Linked DNA regions of Macaca mulatta. The protein of the gene in region 1 interacts with the protein of each later gene in a pairwise test. Links are inferred from orthologs where the notes say so. Each region holds a gene or a part of one and is shown in the gene's direction. Other genes may lie near its edges. The genes, in order: LMO4, KIAA1958, RBBP8, ITSN1, NFYC, myomegalin and GRHL2.

Evidence for each region.
Region 2: the proteins of LMO4 (region 1) and KIAA1958 interact in binary tests that used the Homo sapiens proteins (3 or more experiments, as listed by UniProt). The two-hybrid records come from large-scale screens. The link is inferred for Macaca mulatta from reciprocal best matches to the Homo sapiens genes LMO4 and KIAA1958.
Region 3: the proteins of LMO4 (region 1) and RBBP8 interact in binary tests that used the Homo sapiens proteins (3 or more experiments, as listed by UniProt). The link is inferred for Macaca mulatta from reciprocal best matches to the Homo sapiens genes LMO4 and RBBP8.
Region 4: the proteins of LMO4 (region 1) and ITSN1 interact in binary tests that used the Homo sapiens proteins (3 or more experiments, as listed by UniProt). The link is inferred for Macaca mulatta from reciprocal best matches to the Homo sapiens genes LMO4 and ITSN1.
Region 5: the proteins of LMO4 (region 1) and NFYC interact in binary tests that used the Homo sapiens proteins (3 or more experiments, as listed by UniProt). The link is inferred for Macaca mulatta from reciprocal best matches to the Homo sapiens genes LMO4 and NFYC.
Region 6: the proteins of LMO4 (region 1) and myomegalin interact in binary tests that used the Homo sapiens proteins (3 or more experiments, as listed by UniProt). The two-hybrid records come from large-scale screens. The link is inferred for Macaca mulatta from reciprocal best matches to the Homo sapiens genes LMO4 and PDE4DIP.
Region 7: the proteins of LMO4 (region 1) and GRHL2 interact in binary tests that used the Homo sapiens proteins (3 or more experiments, as listed by UniProt). The two-hybrid records come from large-scale screens. The link is inferred for Macaca mulatta from reciprocal best matches to the Homo sapiens genes LMO4 and GRHL2.

The regions. Positions count from the first base shown.
Region 1 is NC_133406.1:153,320,423-153,324,590, reverse strand, and holds the start of LMO4 (LIM domain transcription factor LMO4), read left to right. Parts: upstream 1-1,368; 5' UTR 1,369-1,742; exon of another isoform or gene 1,743-4,168. Other genes in the region: uncharacterized protein LOC144332728, read right to left, coding at 799-1,368. UniProt on the Homo sapiens protein: Transcription cofactor. Plays a role in establishing motor neuron identity, in concert with MNX1, acting, at least in part, to disrupt LDB1-LHX3 complexes thereby negatively modulating interneuron genes in motor neurons.
Region 2 is NC_133420.1:45,741,093-45,745,391, reverse strand, and holds the start of KIAA1958 (uncharacterized protein KIAA1958 homolog), read left to right. Parts: upstream 1-1,499; 5' UTR 1,500-1,530; coding exon 1,531-2,701; intron 2,702-4,299.
Region 3 is NC_133423.1:69,417,563-69,421,062, reverse strand, and holds part of RBBP8 (DNA endonuclease RBBP8), read left to right. Parts: intron 1-1,561; coding exon 1,562-1,659; intron 1,660-3,256; coding exon 3,257-3,369; intron 3,370-3,500. UniProt on the Homo sapiens protein: Endonuclease that cooperates with the MRE11-RAD50-NBN (MRN) complex in DNA-end resection, the first step of double-strand break (DSB) repair through the homologous recombination (HR) pathway.
Region 4 is NC_133408.1:13,742,166-13,746,363, reverse strand, and holds the start of ITSN1 (intersectin-1), read left to right. Parts: upstream 1-1,398; 5' UTR 1,399-1,571; intron 1,572-4,198. UniProt on the Homo sapiens protein: Adapter protein that provides a link between the endocytic membrane traffic and the actin assembly machinery. Acts as a guanine nucleotide exchange factor (GEF) for CDC42, and thereby stimulates actin nucleation mediated by WASL and the ARP2/3 complex.
Region 5 is NC_133406.1:200,033,421-200,036,920, reverse strand, and holds part of NFYC (nuclear transcription factor Y subunit gamma), read left to right. Parts: intron 1-513; coding exon 514-585; intron 586-2,592; coding exon 2,593-2,706; intron 2,707-3,500. UniProt on the Homo sapiens protein: Component of the sequence-specific heterotrimeric transcription factor (NF-Y) which specifically recognizes a 5'-CCAAT-3' box motif found in the promoters of its target genes.
Region 6 is NC_133406.1:119,875,563-119,879,062, reverse strand, and holds part of myomegalin, read left to right. Parts: intron 1-360; coding exon 361-587; intron 588-2,891; coding exon 2,892-3,035; intron 3,036-3,500. UniProt on the Homo sapiens protein: Functions as an anchor sequestering components of the cAMP-dependent pathway to Golgi and/or centrosomes.
Region 7 is NC_133413.1:111,832,829-111,836,783, forward strand, and holds the start of GRHL2 (grainyhead-like protein 2 homolog), read left to right. Parts: upstream 1-1,155; 5' UTR 1,156-1,189; coding exon of another isoform or gene 1,190-1,408; 5' UTR 1,409-1,509; coding exon 1,510-1,529; exon of another isoform or gene 1,530-1,586; intron 1,587-3,955. Other genes in the region: uncharacterized protein LOC114680429, read right to left, coding at 1,190-1,408. UniProt on the Homo sapiens protein: Transcription factor playing an important role in primary neurulation and in epithelial development. Binds directly to the consensus DNA sequence 5'-AACCGGTT-3' acting as an activator and repressor on distinct target genes.

The DNA.
Region 1 (4,168 bases):
CAGCACCCTAAAAGCATTCCTCAAAACTTGATTTATACTAGAAGTGACATTTCTTACTCTCTAGAGGCTGTGAGATTGCAAATCTCGCAATTACTTCCATTGCTTTTGGGGGCTGTGAGAATTTCCGCCTCTCATCCTCCACAGTGAGGAGGGTAGTCGGGCAAGGTTTTCTCCCTGAAGTTTTCGTCAACTTTGAAAATAAGGACTGTGCTCCCTACATCACCAGCAATTGACAAGGATCCAAGAAATGCCTGCTAGGCACTTTCACACTCGGGTAAATGGGGGATGAGGGAGGCTAAGTAGGCAGTATTTAGCTAGCAACTATTATTTCCTTTATGTTTCTACCTTGTTAACTAAGCTTCCACTACGGTTCATAAATCTCCAATATCGTGAATTAAAGAAACAACAACAAAAACCCTCTTCTGTGTGCGTGTGCGTGAGGGGATAGAAGTTCACTGCCCTAAGATGCAGGACTTATCTTCCCAAACAGGAAGATACCCATTTCTGAGAAAGATGGTAAGTTTCCTAAGGGTCTCCTCTCAGATCGAGGGGATGGCAGTCCCCGAGGAGCGAGCGGGAGCGGGTCCTCAGGGTCCCCGTGCGCAGAGAAGGCAGGTGAGGCCCCCCCGCCCCACCGGGTCTCGGCTCCGGATCCCGGGTCGCGAAGGTCAGCCCAAGCGGGTCCCCGGCGCCAGGCGCCAAGCGGGTCACTTCTCCCCACCTGATTCGGGCCCTTCCCTTCTCCTCTGTCGGCCCGCTCCGCCGCCTCACTCTCTCCCCCGCCCCCCGAGTCTCGTTTCAGTCATCCCTTTGTCCTTCCCCGGATTGGCAGGTTTTATTATTCCGCCTGAACAATCCGGCCGCCCAGTGGCTGAGGGTCGCTGACGTCGGAGGCAGAGCCGGGGAGTAGTTGGGATTTTGCTCTGTCAGTAACACATGTGTAAGAGCCGCGGAGGGAGCGAGCGAGCCGGCTAGAGGCCAGCGCCGCCGCCGCCGCCGCCGCCGCCGCCTCCTCCGCCTCCGCCTCCGCGCCGGGCAGCAGCAGCCCCGGCAACAGTCCCGGCAGCGGCGTAGGCTCCAGCGCGTCGGGCCCGGCCGGCCGCAGCTCCCGACTCCTGGGCGCGCCTGCCTGCCGGCCTCCGCACCGTCCGCCGCCGCTCCCCGGGTTTCTGTGTCTGCGGCTGCTCCCGGGCGGAGGTGCAGGGAGCTCAGTCGAGCCGCCGCTGCCAGCCCGGAGCGAGCGAGCGAGCTAGCGAGCGCGCGGGAGGGAGGAAGGCGGCGGCGGAGGAGGAGGAGCGGGAGGAGCGCGAGGAGCGCGGGCGGGGGCGGGGGCCGCCGGGCGGGGGAATATACAAAGTGAAGCCACATTGCCAAACTTGCAGCAGCGATTGCAGCAGTTGCTGCCGCTGCACCGCGCCTGAAGCCGCGTCGCGCGGGCCGAGGGCTCCTGCAGCTGCTCGCGCGCAGCCGGAGGCGGAGGAGAAGGACGAAGACTGAGACTGACACTTCTGCTCCCGGCCGCCTGCCACTTACGCGGGGGCCCCCCAACCCGCCCCAGAGCAACGCGATTTAAAAAAAAAAAGCCGCCCTTAGCCCCCTCCTCCCCTTTCCTGCTTCTGCGAGAACTCCCTCCCTCCCTCCAGCTCCGCCAGCCCAGGCGCCCCTTCCCTGGAAGCCGAGCGGCTTCGTTCGCATTTCACCGCCGCCGCCTCTTGCAATATTGCAATATAGGGGAAAAGCAGGTAAGGGGGCGGCTGGGGGAGCCGCGGGCCGGGAGGTGGGAGAGAGAGGGAGGGGGCCGATTCGGGCCAGGGCTGTTTTCTTTGGCTTCCTTCCCCTTACCGTCCCAAATTGCAAGTAAACAATACGTCGCCTTAGATAAAGCGCGAGTCTGAAACTACCGAGGCCGGCCTGCGAGCTAGCGCGGAGGGCAGCCCCGGGCCGCCAGCTTTGTAGCGGTTCCTGCTTACAAAAGGGCTCTTCTTGGAAACGGGGCTGGTGGGGACCGTAGAGGGGGTGGGATATTTCTAGTTCATGAGGGAAAGGGCAAGGGGTGCTTAGATGAGGTTTTAAGTATGAGAAGTAGTGTGTTTGGGGGGGTGGGGGTGGGGATAGTCACGATAACCCCCCCCTTCTAGTAAACACTAATTTTGAAACAGTGGCAGGAAGGGTCTAAGTGAGCAGGATTCGGTATTGCTAGTTCTTTTTAAAACCTCTTGGTTTATAAGTCTTTTGTTACAATCCAGGAGAAATACGGTGAATCACCTAATTAAAATCAAGACATGAATTAAGCATCCATTTTTGTACTACAAATTGCCAGCGTTACGTTTGTCCCTCCCTTGGTCTCCATTAAAAAACACCAGAGACGTTATTAAAGGGGGGCAGATTTTGCCTCTAGCTGCCAGTTCTGCTTTCTATTTCACTGACTATCCCAGGACCTAAATTGCTTGGCTATGTAATTACTAGAGTATAAGCCTATTTAACTTAAAAGCTTTCTTCTTCTTTTTTTTTTTTTTTCCAACTCTAAATGAAACTTGATGAGGGCCCGTCCTTAGTTATCAGGGGAGTCAGTTTCTGGTCAGTCCTCTTGATTCATCTCTTTTAGATTTAATCAGCATTAAGGTATTGCTTGTCCTTAAGAGCTTTAGCTAATGGGGTTACTGGATGCTTTTCTCAGTGTAATGTTTCCTTTTCAAAAAAAAAAAAATACATATATATTTACCTCTCACTAAAGATGGGGGCGGGGAAGAGCTGGGAATCTCCTCCCTCTCTCCTTTTAAAAAGGAATTCGGAGCGATTAAAACGTTGGGGGAAACAGTTTAAAGACCTAGGGCAGGAAATGCAGATTCATTTGGGTTAGGGCTGAAATTGTAACAAAAAGCAATTCCTCGAGTAAATGCATCAGATAAATCAATTTACATAAAGGTATGATGCATTCGGATAAATGCAATGCTAATGGGTTTTAGAGTGGTCCTGTTTCCAAAGTCTCAGGGTTTTGTTACAGCTTAATTGGTGCAGTTCTTATTCTGGTTTATTGTGCGGTCACTGGACACACGTTCCGGGACTCTTTCGGAGGAAATGTGTTTAAAATCGGCCTATTTAAGGAACCCGAGTCCCTGTTTCGTTCGTTCCTTCCTCGTTTTTTTGCAGCAGCCAAGTTGGGCCGGGGACAGGCAAAGTTCGCCTTCTTCTGAGGTATCAGCTGAATGTCTTGAGCAGATAGCCGGGAGCCTCAGGGGGAGCCCACACTCTCAGCTTACAGAGGACAAAGACAAAACAGGCTGCTTAATTGGCAGTAAATAACTTGATCTTTTTATAGAATAAGTGACTAGAGGAACACTAGGACTTTATTGGACTCGGAATTGAAGGCAACAAATTAATCGGTTTAGGCTAAGCTTTATAAATTGATTCCTATATTATATCCCAGTTGCATCTCTTGTGGCATTCATTAGAGTGGGGAATTCTTTTTTAAAGCAGTTTTTGGTGACAGCAGAACGGGCTCGAATTTAACTTGTGCATCCCTTAATGCTGCCTTCTCGCACGTTATCTGTAACGCCGACCCCCCCCCCCTTTGGAGGAACAAAGCTTTAGCATTTAAATTGCTGATCAAGGGCAGATTAGTGAGACCAAAGTGGAGAGTGTTTGTATAGGAAGTTAACAGGCATCCTAAAGTTCAATGATCTATTATTCTTGCCTGTGTCCTGAAAACCCAGAGAAAACACTCATTGATCTTCAAAATGAAATGAGATTTGGAACAATAATGGGAGATGGCGGTCACCACAATGGCATGTGAAAGGTGCTGCTTAAAATACGAAAAACCAGTTTCGCAACTTTACACACTGCACCCCCTCTGCCGTCACCTTGCCTTCCCTCCCACCACCACGCTCTCCATCTTCCGTCTGCCGGTCCCTCCCTCCTTCCCTTTCGGAAAACCGAACTATTTCCAACTTGTGAACTCCTGCTGCACTTCCCAGGGCAGAGCCCGGGAGGGAACGAGGCTCCGGCGGGGCCGTCGCCTCACCACTCCCCTCGACTCTGTCCCGGGGCCCGGCGGGGGCTGGGGAGGGGCCGGGCACGGCGGTGGGTGGGTTTGACCCTCATTTGCTGCAGGCGGGCGGCGGAGGAGGGGGGCAGTGGGCGGAGGCGGGGGCTGGGAGGAGGCGCCGCG
Region 2 (4,299 bases), on another chromosome or scaffold:
GGCATGGGTGAAGGGAAGCTAAATAAATCTCTGATGCAGAAAGGGGGTCTGGAAAGATGCCAGTAGGAGGTAGCCTCAGGTTCAGTTTTGAAGGGGCTGGCCAGGTGAGGAAAGAGAAGGGCAGCATATCAAGCAGAAGAATGAGTTTCTCACCAGTAGGGAGTTTAGAGAAGAGGGGACCACAAGAAGTATGGGAAGAGGACATGGTCATAGGAAATGAGGCTTGAGAGGTGGCCATGGCCACATCAACAGAGACCTTAATAGTATGTTAAAGGATTTGAACCTACCTAACCTCCCTGACAGGGTGCCATGGAGTCAGGTCAGGGAATGGCTCAGGTGTCTGTCCACTTTGGTGTAACCACCTGACATTGTGGTTAGACCGTGGTGCCTGAGTGCAGAGCACCAGCAAGTCACCTCTTGTTACCCACATCTGCAGATAGCCAGGGCCAATAAAATCACACATAAAGATTCCTGTGCCTCCCTGCCCAGTGCTCCCAGGACCCGCCTCTTGGCAAAGCCTTACTAACCTTTCTAGCCCCTTGCAGACTCCACATGTCACCTTTCACTTTCCTACCCATCATGTTGTCCTCACTCTTCAGGGACTCCTAACAAGGGCTTCTTTTTGTCTCCTGCCTAATAAGGAATGATTTGCTTCTATTTGATGGTTGGTTATGCTTGGCTTTATGGGACCCTCAGATGGTGGAAAACACCAGACATACTTTGTAACCTCTAATGGTGGGATGAAAGGCAATATTTCAGGAATTGCAGGCAGCCAGGAGACAGGAAGCCTGATCCTAAGAGTGGTTAGAGCAGGGCCTCCTGCTTCCCCATCCTTGCTGCTTCGGTCTACAGCCTGCCCCTCCAGCAGGTCTTTTCCCGGTCTGTTCTCCCTCCTCTGCTGAATACTTTTCTTTCCCATTTCTCAAATCGAGCTCCTGATCCTCTCCTTGGACTCCTAGTTGCATTGTCGTCTGGTGCCCAGCAGAGAACTGGCGTCCTTTCTCTGACCTCTATCCTAAGATGGATCCAAACCTCCTTTGTTGGCTCTGCCTCTAGTAGCGAAGTTTCTGACATCAAAGGGTGTCATTGGAGCTGCATCCTCTTGGTTAATGCAAGTAATAGACACAATTTTATTATTGAGGGACCATCTGAACCTCTCTGTCGGTGACTCTGGAAGTAAAATGTACCATGGAAAAGCTCATTTCTTTATTACTTGTTTCTTTTTCCTTCTCTCCTTTTTCCCCCCTTAGGCAGGAATTATTACAACAATAAAGAAAACTAACAAAATTTTTCTCCAAATCCCACAACCATGAGTCATCAGCTGTTTTTACTTTTCCTGATATTCTCTTCCAGTCCCTGCTCATCTACAGCGACATTAACTAAATTCGGTTTTGAAGTGCATTTCTTTTTTATGCCAAATGATCATATTTGGAACAGACTGAAGTAATCGAGCTATAGGAATATCTTGGGTAATAATGGCTTCTTCTTTTGATTATTTCCCTTTAGGAGTGACACTGCTGATCCTGTAACATGGAGGATTGTCTTCATACCTCATCTGAGAATCTGTCCAAATTGGTCAGCTGGGCCCACAGCCATGGGACTATTTGCAGCCTCATTCCAAACCTGAAACACTTGCTTTCTGAAGGTTCCCATGGGAACCTGACAGCAATGTGGGGCTGTAGTGCTGGCCATGCTTATCACTGGCCGCTAACAGCTACTTGCAGAGCTGGGTCCCAAGAGAGGGTCTGTTTCCAGGATAACAGAAGTTTTAACTCTGATAGTCCCAGTATAATCGGGGTGCCCTCTGAGACACAGACTAGCCCTGTTGAAAGGTACCCTGGGAGACCAGTGAAAGCAAAGCTAGACTGTAACCGGACCAGAGACTCTTGTGACTTCTCCTATTGTAGTGAGCCCTCTGAACTGGATGAAACTGTTGAAGAATATGAAGATGAGAACACCCTGTTTGACATGGTTTGTGAGTCTTCTGTTACAGATGAGGATAGTGACTTTGAACCCCAAACCCAAAGGCCTCAAAGCGTTGCTCGCAAAAGACCTGGGGTAGTCCCATCTTCCCTCCATTCAAGCTCCCAGGCGCAGATGGTTGACGAATGCAGCAATGATGTCATCATCAAGAAAATCAAACAAGAAATCCCTGAAGATTATTACATTGTGGCAAATGCAGAACTGACAGGAGGAGTGGATGGACCAGCCCTATCCTTGACACAGATGGCAAAACCCAAGCCTCAGACTCACGCTGGTCCCTCCTGTGTAGGGTCTGCTAAACTGATTCCCCATGTCACATCCGCCATCAGCACGGAGCTAGACCCACACGGTATGTCTGCATCCCCCTCTGTGATCTCCAGACCAGTTGTCCAGAAGACTGCTAGGGTATCTCTGGCTTCACCAAACAGAGGCCCCCCTGGTACCCATGGCACCAACCAACAGGTGGCCATGCAAATGCCTGTGAGCACATCCCATCCTAACAAACAGATCAGTATCCCCTTGTCTGCCCTGCAGCTGCCTGGACAGGATGAACAAGTTGCCTCTGAAGAGTTCCTGTCCCATCTGCCCAGCCAGGTCTCCTCCTGTGAGGTAGCCCTTTCTCCCTCAGTTAACACAGAGCCAGAAGTGAGCTCCAGTCAGCAGCAGCCCCCAGTCGCTCCAGCCATAACCACTGAGGCCACAGCACAGTGCATACCAGGTATGGCATATGAGGCGACAGCGAGTCCCTCATCCACGCACGCCAGAATTCTGCGCCGTCAGCACTTCTAAAACCATTCACTCCAGTTTGCTAGAATTCAGTCCTTTGTTAGTCATGGAAAGATAGAAACAATGACTCTTATGTCCAGGTGATACTATAAAGGAAATTCATAAGAATTAAGGCCATAACCAGTTGGCATACCTTAGGGCTGAGAGGACAGCTGTAAGATTGTTCTGTTGATATTGTAGCGTTAGATTTAAGGTTGATACTTGTCAGCTGAATTTTTATATAGTAAAGTTATTTTTGAAAGTTTTAAAAATACGTTTTTCTATCAGTAGCAAGGTGTTTAGTTGTTGTTTGAAGCCAAAATGATGTTGAGTAAGGCATATCTTGACAATAGACCTAATGCTTTTCCATTATTATTTATTTGACTGAGCCAACTTGACATTGCTATTCATTTTAGTTGGTGTGGTAGTTAATAAGTTTTTTAAAAAGCAATAGACATTTCTAAAAGAGGTATTTGATCTTTTCTCTTAAAATTTAAAAGAATACGGAAACTTGGATTTCTGGAATCTGTGAGCCTAACTGGAATGGATTGAGAGGAGAGTGAAATAATTGTACGAGGCCCCCGCACCTGTAATTCTAATGTTCTAATGTTCTTTAATTCTGACATTCAATATTTATTTAATCTGGGCCATTAGTATATAAAGGGGTTGGGTCTCATGCTTTTGCCTTCGTGATTCAAATCTAGTAGGTTAGAATAGAAACGTGGACAAGGACAAACAAATGTGCAGAAATCTGTGGCATGTTTTAGTTTATTTCAGCCCTTCTCAAAAACGTCGTGTATTTTGGGAAATGCTTCCTAGAAGCCTGAGGCACCTGTGCCTTTATCCTGAAACTTCCTTGGATTAAGTTGCTTTACAAACTTTTTTTCCAGTTTTAGTTTCAACCTTAAGATTCCCAAAGAAGACCTTCAGTTTATGATTTTTGTGAAGACATAGTCGTGGTGTTATTAAGAAGATATTCACTGAAAATATTTCTCTCCTGATTGAAGATCATGCTTTTCAGTTTATTCACTTTTCTCTTTTTTAAATAATAGTTTTATTGAGATACCATTCACATATCATAAAATTCACTCTTTTAAAGTGTACAGTTCAATGGGTTTTGGCGTATTCATAGCATTGTTACAACCATCACCATTATCTAATTTCAGAATATTTTCATCACCCCAAAAAGAAACCCCATACCCTTTAACAGTCACTTTTTCCCTCCTCCTAGTTCCTGGCAACCACTAATCTACTTTCTGTCTATGGATTTTCCTCTTCTATATGTTTCATATACGTGGAATCATGTATTATGTGGTCTTTTGTGACCGCCCTCTTACGCTTAGCATAATGTTTTCAAGGTTAATCCATGTTGTAGCATTTCTTTCCTTTTTATTGCCAAATAATATTTTATTGTATGACTATACCATATTTTATTTTTCCTTTCATCAGTTGATGGACATTTGGGTTGTGTTCGTACTTTGGCTGTTATGAATAATGCTGCTGTGAACATTTGTGAACAGGTTTTTGTGTGAGTGTGTATATTTATCTTGC
Region 3 (3,500 bases), on another chromosome or scaffold:
CATGTTGCCAAGGCTGGTCTCGCTCTCCTAAGCTCAAGCGATCCACCTGCTTCGGCCTGCCAAAGTGTTGGGATTACAGGCGTGAACCGCTGTACCTGGCCTCACTTTCTATCTCTTCCTGGAGGAATGTCACCTAGAGTCAGTAGTCTTCTCTCATTCATATGCTAATAAATCCCAAACCGGTATCTCTGTCCAACTTTTTTCCTGGATTCCCAACCCGTGTATCTACCTGCTTTTGGATATCTCTACAGGGATATCCTTCAATTTCAGCATGTCTACAGTTGACACTTAACCTGTCAAACTAACTCTTTATCCTTGCATTTGCAATCTCAGTGAATGACACTATACATGCCTCTTTGAGTCATCCTAGATTTCTGCTTCATCTGTTTTTTCTCAACAGCCTCTAAGTTTTACTGATTCTACCTCCTACATATCTGTTTTACATATTCTTCTGTGCCCCTATTATACTAGTTTAGGCTACTAACATCTCTCATCAAGACAACATGTTCTAGTAATCTAATTAGTCCTCTTGCCTATTAGTGATTGCTTCTTGCCTAGTGAGTGTCACAGCCACAAATACCTTTTCAGCCCACACATTGCATTTGTTTTATTTAAAACTCTTAGACATCTCTTCATTGTCTACAGGATAAATTTGAAACTCCTTAGCATAATCTGACCCCTAACCAACCTAACTGGGTTCATGTCCTACTCCCATCTTCTGCAGTTTGACTTCTGGCAGTCAAACCACGCATAGCAAACCCCAAACAAGCAATTTTATTTCACTTATCTAGACCCTTAATTATACCTAGAATTCTTTCTGTCCCAGTCCAGTTAACTTGACATATTCTTCCTTCTCTTGAGTCAGCTTAAGCATCACTTATAACTTTCCTTGATTTCCCAAGAGATTTAGAAGTCCTTATTCTATGTTTGAATCACCCCTTTTATGTACCTTTATTATAATATGTTTATCACATTCTGTTGCAATTCTCTTTTTACCTTGCAACTGTATAAGCTCCTTGAGAACAAGAACTTTTCTTTTCATCTAGTGCTTAGCACAATACCTGGAACATAATAAGTGCTCCATAAATATTTGAGTTAAACCTTTATAAAATACTAGAACATAGGTGATTTATGAATATGTGTTATCTTAACCTGAAACATGCAGTGCTGACAACCTCTCCTACAAAGTATGTTTTCATGAAAGATACCGTACATACAGTTTGATATTCATGCTGTAACATAAGTCACAATAATTCCACTGTAAATCCATTTTATGATTTTTTTCCCCAGTGGCAATAAGAAAAATTACCTATTACATTCAGTTCATTTAGGAAAAACATAAAATTTACTTGGAAAATTTTAGCATGCATGGACCTGCAACTTATTGCCATTTATGGTAGGTATATTGGACTTCTTGCACAGAGTTTTAAAATGGGTCTAGTGCCATCTTACAAACTATGAGCCTTTTCCTTTCTCTTTTGTCATTTTAATATGTCTAGCTTCTACAGTTTTGTAAAGTTGGTTTTATTATTTATTAAAATGGTTTATTATTTATTCTTAGAAACACATGGAACAAGCAGCTGTACCCCTGATAAGTCATCTTTTAATTTAGCTACAGTTGTTGCTGAAACACTTGGACTTGGTGTTCAGGAAGAATCTGTAAGTAATTGTTTAGTTTGGCAATAACATGAATTAATTTTATATCTTTTTAGGTCAGTTCTTAGAGAATTAAGCAAGAGAATTATTTTATCTAAAGATCTTGAGTAAAGGCCTAAAACAAAACTTATGTTGTTAGAAAGTCCTATTTCTGTTGTCCAGCCCAGCAGTCTCAGAAATCTAGAATCTAGAATTCTTGGGATATGGGTTGAGTCAAAATTTAGGGGAGTAATCACGGCATAGAGATTTTGTCAACTTTCTTCACTTCCCCCTCTCTCATGCCCACTCCTTGCCCTCATCTAAGAGATAGACCTAAACCTTTAGGTTGATTTCAGAATTGTTGTTTTGTTTGTTTTATTTTTTAGAGATAGGGTCTCACTGTGTTGCCCAGACTGGAGTGCGTGTCTATTCACAAACACAATCATAGAGCACTATAGCCTCAAACTCCTGGCCTCAAGTGATCCTCGCATCTCAGCCTCCCAAATAGCTGGGACTACAGACATATACCACCATGCCCAGCTAATTATTTTTGTAGAGATAGGGGTCTCAACTGTGTTGCCCAGACAGCTCTCAGACACCTGGCCTCAAGAGATCCTCCTGCTCAAAGTGTTGTTGAGATTACAGATATGAGTCACCACATCCAGCTGTACTCTTATTAAGTTGTCTTGCTGTTGAATTTCTAAAACTTGAATTGGTTTTTCATTACATAGGGATTTGTTTGTCCTTTCTAGTTTTAAATTCATTCTTAAATGATAATGGGTAGTTTTTAACCTTTGAACTTTGAATGCATTTTAATACTTTCTAATTCCCTCCTACCCATAAACCTCGCAAGTCATAGCTTAGACACCAAATAGATCGAAGGAGCTGAAATCTAATGACTTGCTGCTCAACGTGTGATCCATGGGCCAACAGCATCTGCATCACTTTTGAAGTTTGGTGGAGATGCAGAATCTCAGACCTACTGAACTTGCATTAACAGGATCTCCAGTTGACTTGTATGCATGTTAAAGATTGAGAAGCACTGTTCTGTAAAGGATTATTTTAAATTCATCTCCTATCAGTATGAATAATTATCTCTATTCCCTTCTGCACATCTTAATGTTGTTTTTTGGAATTGGAGTTTTATATGCAAGTAGTAGAATATACTTATGTAAGACACTGATGCTTTTCTCTTTAAACTTAGAATGTGCTTCATATTTTTCATTGTGGTGAAATTAACAATCATTTTGAAGTGTACAACTCTATGATATTTAGTACATTCACAATATTATGCAGCTATCACTTCTATTCAGTTCCAAAGCATTTTTATCACCTTCAAAGAAAACCTCATACCCATTAATCGTGTATCCCCATTCTCCTCACCTCATTCTTCCACCTCCCACTTGCATCCTCTGGCAACTACCAATCTGCTTTCTGTCCCTATAGATTTGCCTATTCTGAATATTTCATATAAATGGAATCATATGTTATATGGCCTTTGTCTGGCTTCTTAGTATATTTTTGAGGTTCATCTGCATCGTAACATATATCAGTACTTCATCCCTTTTTAAGAATGAACAAATCCCATTACATGGGTGTGCTTCCTATTTTACTCTTGAAGGAAACTCAAGGTCCCATGAGCCCCCTTGGTAATGAGCTCTACCACTGTCTGGAAGGAGATCACAAGAAACAGCCTTTTGAGGAATCTACAAGAAATACTGAAGATAGTTTAAGGTAATCACGGGCACATTGGTGAAAACTTACAAGCTATTGGTGAGATCCCATTACAATGAATTCCATATAATTAAACCATTTCTCTCCTTCAACATATAGTTGGTTATTCTGGTTATATACATTTTTACTTT
Region 4 (4,198 bases), on another chromosome or scaffold:
CGCACCCAGACCTATGCCAAGGCGATGCTTACATCTCGCTCCAGATGATTCCGCTGTTTAGCGTAATGAAGAGGGCCGATGTGGCTCAAAAGCCACATACAGCGAATAACTACTAACTGCTTTCCCAAAACAGCAAAGTGATGAGGAAGAAAAAAGTAGCTGAGAAGAAGTAACAGAGAAAGAAAAAGACACTCAAATTCTAGGAACAAAAAGCAGAGGAGAAAAACCCAACCTGGGAGATTAAGTGGAAGGGCACTCCCAGACCTCTACCTCCATAAAAGTACAGGGAGATGCAAACTGAGATAAGACCTACAATAAAAACCCGTCAAGGTCCAAGGAAACTGTCCCTCAAATCTAGTCTTACCCACCCCTCAGCGGCCTCAGCTAAGCTAGGCCTGGGCCCGAACAAGTCCCAGGTTGGGGTTCGACGCGAACCACCATCCTCCCCAGGGCTGCACGGTTCCGCGGGGCATCTCTCCACCTTTCGCTTAAAGTCCCATTTCCCAAGACACAGGACGCTTTTTCCGGGGCTCACCTGCCTCTGAGCCGCCACAACGGCCTGCACCTTCACCACCGCCACCTTCAAGTCCTTCCGCAGAGAGCCCGCCCCCTGCTCCCATTGGTCAGGCCGCTCGTCACTCCTGAAGGGCGGGGTCGGACTCGCGAGGCTGTCGAGAACGCCATGGCAACCAGTCTTGGAACTACATCTCCCGTGATGTTCCGCTCGGGGGCGGAGAAAGAGGCGAGGCACCGCCCCAAGGACTACCAATAAATGGGCGAAGTTGGAATCGCCTGGATGGGTTCCGTTTTATGCAAATCCTAACCGAAGATCACACCCTTCCTCATTCCAACCATGGGCCCGGCCAACCCCTCTGGCTTGTGCTTCGCCTCCTTTATCCTTTCCACATTATTCTCTCCTTTAAAACCTCCAATAATTAAGCCAATTAAGTGCATTCTATCTAGTGCCTCGCACGGCAACGAGCAGATGCACCGAAATCGTGCAACAAAATCTCCATAAACCACGATAGGCAACCTCAGACCAGAAATCTCCGGTTACGCCTACGTGGGGAAGAGGGGGAGAGTGCTAATCCTGCCCCCACTCAGCGCCTGCTGACTGGCTCATTCAGCTTGTCACTCTGTCGTCTTACATTTCTTTGGCTCCCCTTCCTCGGGTTAGCACGGTGGGCGGGGCCAGCGGTAGAGGGCGGTGAGAAGGTGCGGGCCCCTTCTTCCGATTGGCAGGCGGTTTCCCCACCCACTTATGGGCGGAGACGGAGGGTGGATGGGGGGCGGGGGAGGCAGCGGAGGGAGATGAGGAGATAGGCGGGAGCGAGGGAACGAGGGAGGGAGCGAAGGAGGTAGAGAGGAGTGGAGGCGCCAGGGGAGGGAGCACAGCTTGGTTGCTCCGTAGTACGGCGGCTCGCGAGGAAGAATCCCGAGCGGGCTCCGGGACGGACGGAGAGGCGGGCGGGGATGGTGTGCGGGGCTGCGGCTCCTGCGTCCCTCCCCGCGGCGCGTGAGCGACACTGATTTGTCCCTGGGGCGGCAGCGCGGACCCGCCCGGAGATGAGGTGAGGAGAGGACTGCACGGCGGCGGCCTGGACCGCGGGCAGCGGCGGCGGGGGCGGGGGTCGGCGCGATGGCTGCCCCGGGCGTCCGTCCCGCGCCCGGCGCTTGTCCCCCCGGCCGCCTTTAGCCCCTCGCCGCGCGCCTGGGAGACGGCAGCGGCCGCCCCTCTGCCTCGTCCTTCCCGTCCTCGGGGGCGGCGACGGGATGGCGGGCGGACCCGCACTGGGAGGCCGGGGGCTGCGGTGGGCCGTGGGGTGATGGCCGTGGGACGGGCGTAGGGATGAATGGGCGCCGCGGCCCCGCCGCGGAGCGGGCTCTCTCCTGCCGCGGGGACCCCGGGCGTCCGCTCCTTCCCAGGCTGACCTCGCTGCCCTCGGCCGCCGGCGCGGGGCGGCCCGGCCTCGCCTCCCGCCGGCCTCCCGGGGACCCGCGCTGGCGGGAGCGGCGTCGCCTCTGCCTGGAGCCCCGGCTCCTTCCTCGCTCCCTCGCTCGCAAGCCTGCGGAATCCCGGGTCAGTGAAGGGCAGGCAATGCAGTTCGGCCCCAGGGCGCGCCGCGGGGCCGCCCCTGAAGGCATTTAACGGAGAGCGGCTCCCGCGCCCTGTGAGCGCGTCCCCGGATCCGCCGCGTCCCTTGCCTTCTTACGCACCGGCACGGTTTTGTGGTGTGGACCTGAGGCACAATTGCAGTCCCTTGCTTGCACGAGGGAATGCAATCAGAATTCCTAAAAAAAGGAAACCGGCGAGGAATCGGCCGCACCTTCCTGCGCCTCTGCTTGCTTTGGGGTTAGAAAACAACTTCGGAGATTACATTTCCTATGGGCAATCTTTTGTTGTGATTCAGACTCAAGAAGGCTTTGCTTTGGAAGAAATAGATTAGCGGCTTCTCTGTGGAGTTGGAGGCTATAGAGATTTTTATAGCCTCTTCAATATGAAAGTTTCCTCTAGAACTTTGCCATCATCAGTGCTATTCTGAGGGCAGCAGCAACCTGGGAATTTAAATATATGCAGGCTCCGGCCAGATGCGTTTCTTTGTGCTTGTCTGTTGGCATTCTTCTCTTGCTGCTCCCCTTGATCAAAATGTACAGATAATAAAAACAAGGCCAATGAAAAGGGAGGCTAATAACAGCAAATCCCATACAAACAAATGCCTCTAGAAATTCTCAGTTCTGTCAGCGGGGAGGCAGTTTTGCTAATCCCGTGGAACGGATGAAGAGAAAGGCACAGATATCTCATGGATTATGTAGTGGACAGGATGTGAGGGCAGGAACTGGGGCCAGGACACAGCAGGCCAGCTGGTTTGCATGGTGCCACTCTAAACCCCCAAAATTTGAATAGGAGGAATGTATTTGTTGGGATACCTTTATTTTTAGATGACTTGAAGGTTGAGAGTGCGGAAGCTTAAACACCCTTCATAGTTATTATTTCTTAGTTTATCTCTGAGAATAAAATATGCTTCTGTTTAAAATTTCTTTTACTGGTGTGCTTGAAACGTTGTTTTGATGGGAGTTTCCTTGTAAGTAAAAACATTAAAAATTACATACATATGAAAGAAAAATCGCTAGTGCAGATGGGTTTGTAAAGAATCTAGGGACTTTTAAGTCATATAAATTAAGGAGTGAGGGACACTAATTTGATGCTGGTGTTAAAATTATTTCAGACACCTTTAAGTAGTCCAGTAAAGATCATTTCTCATAGTATGATCTTTTTTAAAAAATGGTATTTCATTATCTAGGAATGCTTCTGTTGAAATTGCTGGGGCGCATGGTACCTTCACAAAACTCTATTATTATTCTGCCTGAGTAAGAGAGGAAATGAACAAATTTTTAATGTACTTTGGAACCCTCTGGATTGCTCAGATACTAAGCATTGTGAAATAGGGCATAAAATGAGTGGTAGCAAGTTAGTTCTGTGAAATGTTTGTCCTTCTTAGATTTTTTTTTTTTTTTTTGGCAGTCGACTAGCAATTTTCTTTTCCCTAAGGTTTATCTTCAATATTGGTAGTAGAACCTCTGCTCAAGTTTCTCTTTTCCCCAAATACCTAGATTGGGGCAAACTGTCAAACCTCCTGTAAGAGGTTAAGGAGGAGCTGCTGGTAATTTCTTTTTTTCTTTTTTTTCTTTTCTTTTCTTTTCTTTTTTTTTTTTTGAGACAGGGTCTGGCTATGTCACTCAGGCTGGAGTGCTGTGGTGCAGTCGTGGCAGCAACCTCAACCTCCTGGGTTCCAGTGATCTTCCCACCCCAGCTTCTGGAGTATCTGGGACCACAGGTGCACGCCACCATGCCCAGCTAATTTTTAAAATTTTTCTAGAGACGGGGTCTCTCTATGTTGCTCAGGCTGGTCTAAAACACCTGCCTCAAACGATTCTCCCACCTAGGCAGCCTCCCAAAGAGCTAGGATTAGAGGGATGAGCCACCATGCCTCGTCCAAATTTCTCTACTCTAAATCGTTTTTTTAATTTGCTAAAATTTGGGAGTTGTAGAGAATTGATGACATGAGAGTTTGGATTATGTTTGCGCCTCAAATTCTTCTGCCATAGAGCTGTTCCCTTCTGAATGATCACTTCCTCCTGACTGGCTCCACTTACTGGTTGGGTTTCTTAAAGTGTGGACCTCAGATCACTTACATCA
Region 5 (3,500 bases), about 47 Mb from region 1:
TAGTGCAAATATCAGAAATAGCCACTGTCAGCTGTGAAGAACTGTGGGTCACTGTGGTCAAGTGCCCCGGCGTTACTGTTACAGTTTATCACTGAATGGAAGAAAGAACTGGAACTTTAGAGGAATACCCCTGAGACAGAAATCTCATTTTAATCTGCATATTGCAGACTGGTAAACTTACTTGGAAAAAAAGTGAAGGCGCTCATAATGTCCCTTTATGTGCTGACGAAAACAAACAAACCAAAAAAAACAGATATTGCTTGGGGCTCCGTTTCATGAGGGCACTGTTAGAGGCCATCCTAAGCTTTTTCTAAAGCCCACTAATTCTTTGAAGACCTGCATATGTTAAGAAGAATTTTGCTCTGGAGCTTGTATTTTCTTCATTTCATCTGTACCTCCTCTCCCGACTTCCTGAAGAGAGGGATTAAGCCAGAGTGCTTCCTGCTGCCTGTCATGCTTTGCCACACTGTTGATTGTGCCCACCATTTATGCATCTCTTGTTGTTCATTTCAGAAAGACTTCCGAGTGCAGGAACTCCCATTGGCTCGTATTAAGAAGATTATGAAACTGGATGAAGATGTGAAGGTGAATTCACATTCATTTTTATTATTTCTTATTGAAGCTGAGTGATGGGTAGGTTATTGTTCATTGCTCTAGAGCTCAAAGTTTAATTAAACAAGAACACACAAAAAATTACTGTCTGTTGCTTTGTTATTTGATTCCTGTTTAAAATTGTTAAGTGAGCCAAAATTGAGCAGTTTTGGTTACTATATGGATCATCCTGAAAATTAAGGATATCCTGGGTTTTTTAGATGTTGAAAAAATAGTAGTTGTTGGTTTTTGTTTTTTCTTTTTCTTTTTTTTTTTTTTTTTTTTTTGAGAGTTTTACTCTGTTATCCAGGCTGGAGTGCAGTGGTGTGAGCTTGGCTCACCGCAACCTCTGCCTCCCAGGTTCAGGCAATTCCCATGCCTCAGACTCCCAAGTAGCTGGGATTACAGGCGCCTGCCATCACACCCAGCTAATTTTTGTATTTTTTGTAGAGACGGGGTTTCGCCATGTTGGCCAGGCTGGTCTTGAACTCCCGACCTCAGGTGATCTGCTTGCCTTGGCCTCCCAAAGTGCTGGGATTACAGATGTGAGCCACCGCATCTGGCCTTTTCTTTCTTTTTGAGACAGGGTCTCACTCTGTCACCCAGACTGGAGGGCAGTGGCATAATCATGGCTCACTGTAGCCTTTACCTCCCAGGCTCAAGTGATCTTCCCACCTCAGCCTCCCAAGTAGCTGGGACTATAGGCACATGCCATCATGCCTGGCTAATTTTTAATGTTTTTTTGGAGCAGGGGACAGGATCTCACTGTGTTGCCCAGGCTAGTCACGAACTCTTGGACTCAAGCAGTCCTCCAGCCTCGGCCTCCCAAAGTGCTAGGATTAGGCATGAGCCACCATGCCTAGCCGGTATCTCACAGTTCCTTTCACAGTGTAGCATATACGTGTATCATCAAGTCAACAGGACAGTGCCATCATCTTAGCATCTTATATAGTTTGTTGATCTGAACTCTTAAGAAATTTTTGATAATGATATTCAACCTGCTCTAACTTTTTGATCTGTGAGTTTCTTTTACATGAATAACACTTGTGAGAGGGTTTGCTTGGGCTTGGCCATTTCTGTATTCCTAGGAGTCCATCTCCATTATAGATCTCAGAGAAAGAGGAACTCTGTCTCTTTACCACTCAAAATTAATAGTCTTTTGTATTTTCACAGAAAGCTAACAATTGATAGCAATTTTCCTTTTTATTAGCTCCTTTCTTCCTAACAGTAGCCCTGTGAGATTTGATATAACAAGAATTATCAGTTCCTTTTTACAGATAATGGAAATAGACACAAAGAGGTTAAGTGACTCACCCAGAGTGCTAGGACCAAGATCGCATTTCCCATCTGCTGCTGCTTTAACTCCAGAGCTCTTTCTGTGATTGTAGCCTGCACAGACTACCTCACCAAAGGTTTAGAACCTTGTTTGACCAAGAGCTTCAACTTTGAAATCAGACACATCAAGTTTATATGGCTTGAGCACTTCCTATGCGCCAAGTCCTGTGCTGGGTACATATATTATCTCATTTGATTGCCACAATAAAACTGGAAGGTTATCCTCTTTTTCAGTGTGTGAAAAACAAAGCCCAAAAGGATGGGAAACCTGCAGTTTTACCCAAATCCATTGGCTTTCAAGCTCATTCTCCTTCCCCATATTGTTTCTCCTTAGATTAGAACCTAAACCCTGCCACTTATTGGCTCTATGGCTATGGGCAAGTCACTTCATCTCTCTTAAACCCTAGTTTCTTTGAAAGGCTATTATAAGGGTAAGAAAGCACCTTGCACAAGGTTTGGCACATGGTAGGTGCTAAATAAGTATTCTTTCTCCCTGTTCCCTGCTTTATTCCTACTCATGAATTTATTTTACCTTGGAATCTCTTGAGCATACCACCTCATTTTTTGACCCTTGCCCCATAGTCCCATGCCAGGCAATGAGGCAAGAGACAGACTGGTTTGAATGACTTGCTGGTGATTGACAGGGAGGGCCTGTGTCTGTTACAGATGATCAGTGCAGAAGCGCCTGTACTCTTTGCCAAGGCAGCCCAGATTTTTATCACAGAGTTGACTCTTCGAGCCTGGATTCACACAGAAGATAACAAGCGCCGGACTCTACAGGTATTATTGCAGACTTAGATTAGGAAAACTGGGGTAAGCAGCCACCTTTGCCTGTTCTCCTGCGTGGCTTTGGACCAAAGATTGTTCTTCTTTAGGCCTCTATCAAGCTGACATGTAATTGGCATCTCCACTGTTGGGAGGCAGACATATTTTCTAGCCATGGTGATTGTGTTTCTCCACCAAAAATCTTAATTCTCTCCTGGTTTTCACAGCTTAGTGACTGAACTCTTTTCCCTTGGTGAGCCCTCACTATAAACAGAGGCTCAAGTGATAGAGTATTTATCTGTTTCCAGACGTAAACAACTTCTGCTTGGGAGCCTTGAGAGATTCCAGGAAAGGACGGTTCCAGGAAGTATCAGCGGTCTCACTAGCTTCATTAGGCGTTTTGTTCCTTATCTGCCTTCCTGGGAGTCCTCTTCTTCTTCTCCTTCTTCTTCTTCTTCTTCTTTTTTTTAATTTTAATTTTAACCCAGCAAATCCACATACATACTGTATGCAGAGCCCTTGGTCATTGACTCTAGAAACCCTCACCCTATAGCCAAGCCCTGGCTTTTAGAGGAAAGCTTTCCCAGATACAAGAAGAAGGGTGTAACAAGTATAAAACAGTGGCACTATTTTAACAGTGAAGCCAAGAAAATAAATTGTTTTCTCTTCTTGTTTCCCTTTACCTGCAAAGTAGAAAATACATGTGTTTATTCATTTATTCTAAAAATACTTAACTGAACACCCACAATGTGTGCCAGGCACTTCTCTAGGCTCTGGGGATTAACGATACACAAAACAGACAAAAATCC
Region 6 (3,500 bases), about 33 Mb from region 1:
CATTGCACCATAATCTCTCCATTCTTGAAAATGTTCTCTGTATCCAGCTTGATTTCCTTGTCTGTGTCTTCTCTACCCAGAAACTTATTATTTATTATGATTTGTCCTATTTCATTGGCCAATAAGAAAAAATTGTCCCCTGGCAAATTTATCATTAAGAGATGATGTAAGAAAAATTACAAAAATATAGAAGCCAGAAGATCTCTATGGTCTTTGCCCCACCCTTGTACATTCCAAGGCTTCCTTTCTTGTTCCCAGCCTCTTCCTTTTCTTGTCTCCTACCTCTTCTGAGTTGGAGCAAACCTAGGATATCATTATGAATAACAGAGGATTCTGTTGTGTTGTTATTTTCTTTTCCAGGCTTGGGTTTGGATACTTCTCCAGTAATGAAGACCCCTCCCAAGCTGGAGGGTGATGCTACTGATGGCTCCTTTGCCAATAAGCATGGCCGCCATGTCATTGGCCACATTGATGACTACAGTGCCCTGAGACAGCAGATTGTGGAGGGCAAGCTGCTGGCCAAAAAGATAGTGTCTCTTGTGAGGTCAGCGTGCAGCTTCCCTGGCCTTGAAGCCCAAGGCACAGAGGTAATCACACCTGTAGCTTTAGATGCACTGTTTCCTTGTGCCCTTTCTTCCTTTGATGGTAACTCCTTCTCCCACCATTTTTGTTTTTGTTTTTGTTTTTCGTGCTTTGCATCTCTCAACAGCTGAGGCTTCCTCTTCCATGTACAGCAGCCAGGCCCTGTCTTCTCTGTCTCCTATTTTCACTGTCAGTTCTGCTCTGTTCCAGATGTAGCTGACTGGATATTTCCCCTCAGCCCCACAGAAACATGTGGCATTGCCTAGCAGCCTTTGGGAGCTTTTTTTTTTTTCCTCTTTTCTTGTTTTTATTATTATACCTTAGGTTCTAGGGTACATATGCACAATGTGCAGGTTTGTTACATATGTATACATGTGCCATGTTGGTGTGCTGCACCCATTAACTCGTCATTTACATTAGGTATATCTCCTAATGCTATCCCTCTCCTCTGCCCCCTCCCCACAATAGGACCTGGTGTGTGATGTTCCCCTTCCTGTGTCCAAGTGATCTCATTGTCAAGTTCCCACCTATGAGTGAGAACATGCAGTGTTTGGTTTTCTGTTCTTGAGATAGTTTGCTGAGAATGATGGTTTCCAGCTGCATCCATGTCTCTTCAAAGGACACGAACTCATCCTTTTTTATGGCTGCATAGTGTTCCATGGTGTATATGTGCCACATTTTCTTTTTTTTTTTTTTTTTTTTTTTTTGAGACGGAGTCTCGCTCTGTCACCCAGGCTGGAGTGCAGTGGCCAGATCTCAGCTCACTGCAAGCTCCGCCTCCCGGGTTCCCGCCATTCTCCTGCCTCAGCCTCCCGAGTAGCTGGGACCACAGGCGCCGCCACCTCGCCCGGCTAATTTTTTGTGTTTTTAGTAGAGACGGGGTTTCGCCGTGTTAGCCAGGATGGTCTCAATCTCCTGACCTAGTGATCCGCCCGTCTCGGCCTCCCAAAGTGCTGGGATTACAGGCTTGAGCCACCGCGCCCGGCCATGTGCCACATTTTCTTAATCCAGTCTGTCACTGATGGACATTTGGGTTGATTCCAAGTCTTTGCTATTGTGAATAGTGCCACAATAAACATACATGTGCATGTGTGTTTATAGCAGCATGATTTATAATCCTTTGGGTATATCCCCAGTAATGGGATGGCTGGGTCAAATGGTATTTCTAGTTCTAGATCCTTGAGGAATCGCCACACTGTTTTCCATAATGGTTGAACTATTTTACAGTCCCACCAACAGTGTAAAAGTGTTCCTATTTCTCCACATCCTCTCCAGCACCTGTTGTTTCCTGACTTTTTAATGATCGCCATTCTAACTGCTGTGAGATGGTATCTCATTGTGGTTTTGATTTGCATTTCTCTGATGGCCAGTGATGATGGGCATTTTTTCACGTGTCTGTTGGCTGCATAAATGTCTTCTTTTGAGAAGTGTCTGTTCATATCCTTTGCCCACTTTTTGATGGGGTTGTTTGTTTTTTTCTTGTAAATTTGAGTTCTTTGTAGGTTCTGGATATTAGCCCTTTGTCAGATGAGTAGATTGCAAAGATTTTCTCCCATTCTGTAGTTTGCCTGTTCACTCTGATGGTGGTTTCCTTTGCTGTGCAGAAGCTCTTGAGTTTAATTAGATCCCATTTGTCAATTTTGGCTTTTGTTACCATTGCTTTATGCAGGCACATGACCATCTGTGGGCAGAGTTGACACAATGGGGTGGACAGAAACTGAAGGATTTGCAGGTGTATGGCCCCCACATGTGGAAGGGGTGAGAAGCCTGGCAGCCATGGCATTTCCTTGTGCAGACTGCATAGAGGGAGGGAAGGCAGTCAGCAAAGCTTCTCAGAGCGCCTTGCCAGTGAGAGAGACCAGGCACCAGGGCTGTGCTGTCTGAGCTGCTGGAGACCCATGGATGCGTAGGGACAGCCCTGCCTCCACGGAACCCCACACTAGAGGGCAAGACACACACACAAGTAGATCAGCACAGTAAGGGGCTACAGACACAGCATGAGAAGCCATCCTCTGTGCTGTGAGGCCGCCAATGCAAACGTGGTCATTTATCTCAGGCAAGGAAGGTAACAGGTTCATAGAGGACACAGCAAGGGGGGTGAGTTTTGAAAGCCTTGTGGGTTCTGCAGGTGGAGGGAGGCATACCTGGTAAAGGGACCAGCACCTTAGTTCTGAGAGCTGCAAATGGTTGTGCGAGGGCTTCACAGTTCAAGCAGGCCCATGTTCTGTGCCTCACTCACAAAGGAAGCGGGAGCCCATGCAGGGGGAAGAAAGTAATCTCTCCGCTTCTGTGGTGTTACCTTTCCCCAGGTGATGGGCAGCAAAGGCATACATGAGCTTCGGAGCAGCACCACTGCCCTGCACCATGCCCTAGAGGAGTCGGCTTCCCTCCTCACCGTGTTCTGGAGAGCGGCCCTGCCAAGCACCCACATCCCTGTGCTGCCTGGCAAAGTGGTAAGATGCCAGTGTCCTTTCTTGGTTTGAACCCAGTTTTCCTGCCCTCCAATACTGTTCTGTCTCTTCAGTGTCACAGCTTTTCAAGAAAATCGGGAGCCACATAGTGAATTGGGATAGACAGGACCTTAGAGGAGTGTCCCTGGAGGGACATCTCTGACCCATGGTGGCTGCTTTCATTGCAGCTGTAAATACATCCCATTCCCCACCAACCCCCTGGCCCCTGGATAAAAAATCAAGAAGAGGAAGGGGTGTGGAGAAGGCGGAGACATCATAACCCTGGCAATCCATAAAGGTTCAGTTTCTTTACCTCTCTGAAGTTTGGCTGAGCTGAAATTCAGTTAAAGCTTCAGCACCCACCTCCCACCCCTCAGGTCCCACGGTCACATGATCACAGAATGCCCCCATGAGACTGAGCCTTTTCAGCCGCTGCCTGGAATTCCAGCATATCACTTCAGCTGGCAT
Region 7 (3,955 bases), on another chromosome or scaffold:
TGTTTTATCGTGTAATTTTCAGAAAATATGTGATCCATAAGATTAAAAGAAAAGTTGTATTAAGTCTGGCAGCTTTAGTATTAACTTGAAATAAAATATGGTAAGCTTTCCACGTCCTCCTTTGTTTCCACAATCCATATGTACGAGCTAGATCCCAGTCAGAACTTCCACAAACACTTCACTCTTTGGTAGCGGCGGTTATAAATTACACCTCTGCTAATTTGCATTGTTCCCAACCAGGAGAAACATTACCACAAAAAAAATCAGTTTCATCCTGCAGTGTTTCCGTAGCAACCATATTAAGCTGGAAGAATAAAGCACCTTTGTAGCGGTAGCGTCTATTGAATTACAATGTAAACGTTGATGCCTGCCTGGAAACGTCAAATGACAACAGGTTTACAGAACGAATTCAGTGGTTGTTTGCAGCTCTGGAATCCCAGGCTGCAGAGTTGAGATCGAAGAGGTGCGCCTGGCCATCTTAGTGTCCATTCAACCAAATCTCCTCACTCCATCAAAACCACGCCACTCCCCACCTGCCCAGCTCGTAAAAGGATGCTCACCTGCTTGAAAATCTGTAATATATCTGATGTCTTTTACACAACAGGACGCGAAAAGTGTTTGTTGTGGATAAGAATGTTAAAAATTCAATTACGCAACAGACCAAACTTTGTGTTTCTTTCCCCCTCTCAGCACAAAGTAACTTTAGTCCCGTCCTCTTCTGCCACTGTCAAACAGCCCTGTTACTGTGGGCATTAAATGCCTTGTGGCGTACTGCGCATTTGATTCTGGTTGACTTGGGATACCTGAGCTCGGCTCTCATTAGTTCTTCCGCTCGACCCATAATCCCTAGTGTTTGCAGGTGTTGCATTCCCCCAACCCCTTTCTTCGCTTCAACCAGTACCCCCGACCTTCCCATCCCTGCCTTGGAGAAGGAGGAAAACGCAGCTTGAGGTCTACTCGAAGAACTGACCCTCAGCTCTCACAGGCTGCCGCCGAGCTGCAAGCATGCCGCCGCTCCACTCAGGTAAACTTCGGAGTGAGTTACCTTCACTTGGAGAAGGGCCTTACCTGAGTGCGCCTCTGCCAATGGCAGCTCACCTGAGGGAGCTCCCCAGCCAATCATCGCGCAGCTCGTCCCTCGGGCTTGTACCCTTTAGTGAAAGAATTCAGCTCCTTGCGAGAAAGTTACCTGTGGCCGCCCAAGTCCGCCACTTTCTGCTCTGTGTCTGCCCATTGCCACGATCCAGGAGGACTCCGCGCCGCCCGGCCGCCTCCGAGCTCGGGCCCCATGTGAGGGGCCCCCCCTTATCCCACCTTTCCGGCTAGGTGAGGGCGCGAGCGGGCGAGCGAGCGAGAGTGGTGAGGGGGGACGGAAAAGCAGAATTACCTGTAGCTCTTGTTCTGCCATCTCGGGCGCTCTCACACACCTTCACCTGCACAGACTTGAAAGTCCAGTTTCACCAGAGGCTGAGGCTCCAGGAAAAGGGGAGCAAGTTCATTGGATCAAACATGTCACAAGAGTCGGACAAGTAAGTGGATCACACGCGCCGGCTGCTGCTACTACCACTTTGGGCTGATGGCAACTGGTTTGTTATGTTTTTGTTTTTGTTTTTAAGTTGCTATTGTTGGTATTTTTCTTTCTTTTTTCTTTTTCTTTTTGGTGGATCCAGACTTTTCCGCATTATGTTTCTACCCTGATTAAGAGGAGAAACCCTACAACAATGTGAATGTTTAATATCCCCTTTGGGCCTTGATAGTAAAAGTGGGTTTTCCTTTTCCTTCCTCCCTTAGGAATGGTCTCAGCTCCCGCTCCCGGATGAATACTTGGATATTGCCAGAGGTTTTGGTAGATGGGCGCGGGAGGCCTGCTCTTCCCCCTCTGCTTTAGCTGCTCCCACCGATCTGGCGTTTAGGGCCATTTGGAAGTTCAGCTGAGTTCCTTCGATTTGTCCAAAGGGCCTACTGGAAAAGTGGGGCTTGGCCGCTTTTGTGTGACCGCAACAAAGAGCTTTTATACCGAGGCAGAAACGGCCATCTTCTCGCACCGGGCAGGAGGGTGGGCGTGAGTGCGCGCCCGCCTGTGGCCCCGAAGGGAGGCGAGGCGCTGGGAGGCCGGGGGGCGCGGGGGCGGCCGGCGCCGTCCCCCACTCCCTCGACATCCCGCCTCCCTCCTCCCCTCCCCCGCCTCCCTCCCCCGGGTCCGCCCCCGCATTGTTTGGCCACCTTCCTCAGGTGCCCGGGGGAAAGGACGGTTCGCAAAGTGGGGGAACTCATGTGAGGCCTCGAGTTAGGGCCTCGGCGGGGCGCCAAGGGGCGCCTGCTGCTGAGCGATTCACCCGCGCCCCGACGGCGGCTGCAAGCCCCTGGAGCTCGCGGCCCTCCACGCAGTTGGCCGCCAACTCGGACGCGGCAGGCGGGACTGCGTGGGGCGCGCAGAGCCTTCTTGGGGTGCTCTCGCCGTCAAGGCCGGGGGCTCGGGGCGGGGGGAACGCTGGGCTCGCGTCCTTCCCGTCCCGGACAGGCACTCCAGACGCGCCGGCGAGCCACAGCCTGCGCGGCCGGAGTCGCCCGCGGGTCACCGGGCCCGGTCTGGCCGCGTCCTGACGGCCTCCCCGCGGGCCGGCCCCCGCCCTCGGAAGGCTTTGTGCGATCCGGGGGAGGTGGGGCCTGGGCGGGCGCGGGAGGGAGCCGGAGGTGGGTCCCGCGGCCTTTCTCGGGATTCGGCGGGGACACTCCCTTCCCCCTCCTCTCGGGCGCGTCCGGGCCTGGGAACTGGCTGCGTCCTATTGGAATGCGCGGGGCCGCCCTTTTGCTTTCCCCGGTAACTTTGCCGTGGCGTTGCGGCCACCCCGAGGTGGCCTTCCTGAAGGCGTGTCGCCGGAGAGGGCCGGTGCCCCAAGGCCGCGGGCCGCTGGGCCTGTCATGGAGAAGTGGTGGGGACCCGTCCCAAGTTGAGGGACCACGAGGAAGGAGTGGGAAGGCCCAGCGGATCTGTTCAGGGGTGAAGGGGAAGGACTAGCTTCAACATAAAGCCGCTTGGTAGGTTAGGCGAACCTAAGAAAATGCGCTGTCATACTTAACAAGCAAAAAACTGCCAGATAGTTGTACCCCGTTAGCCACCGATGAGGAATTAACCGAGTACAGCATACCGGAGGGGAAGAACTAGCGTTACCAACACAGGAGAGGGTCTGAGGCAGGGTAGGAAGAGGAGAGTGTGTGGTCGTCTGAGAACACCCCCAGCTCTTCCCTAAATCTTTCTAGTCTTTAAGGAAACACGACTCGAGTTTGAAATTTTCAGTAGCCAAATCCCGAGGCGACAGCAAGTTTTTGGGGTTTGTTTTGATCCTTGCGTGCGTCAAAGATGATTGCAAATCTAGTTTAATTAATCGCGCAATTAACGTTTAGTTTGCTTAGTTTTGTGATACAACAGGACTCGAATTCTGAATGAAAACGAGTCGGTCTCTATTTTCACCAGTTATATTTAGCAGCAATAAGAACAATGTGTTTACCACCAGAAATAAGTACTGAGCGCCCGCAATCTGGTTTCACCACACACATCACCTAGTTTTTATGGGTGATAAGTATCTGGGATTACGTCTGCTTACATTTAATGAACGTTGCTTTTATCTAGTCGTGGTTTCCAACACGAAATTTTGTATCCTGGGAAAAGTAATGGTTACAATGGTGCAAAGAGACAATTCGACCTGGTTTGTTTCCTCTCTCATTGGGCTGTTGAAAATGCTTTAAGTCAATACATGACTTCTGGATCATTTCTGCGAATTCTAGCCCAGTTTTCTTAATATTAATATTCTAAGGGAGCCCTGGCAGGGGTGGGTCTGAAGCTTATGCAACTATGTGTGTGAGATGCGGTGGGGACTGTAAGGAAACGGGCCCCTGGGCACACCATGGGGCTTCCTTCCTGAGCAAGTGAGAGGCTTCGTGAGCCTCATTGAAA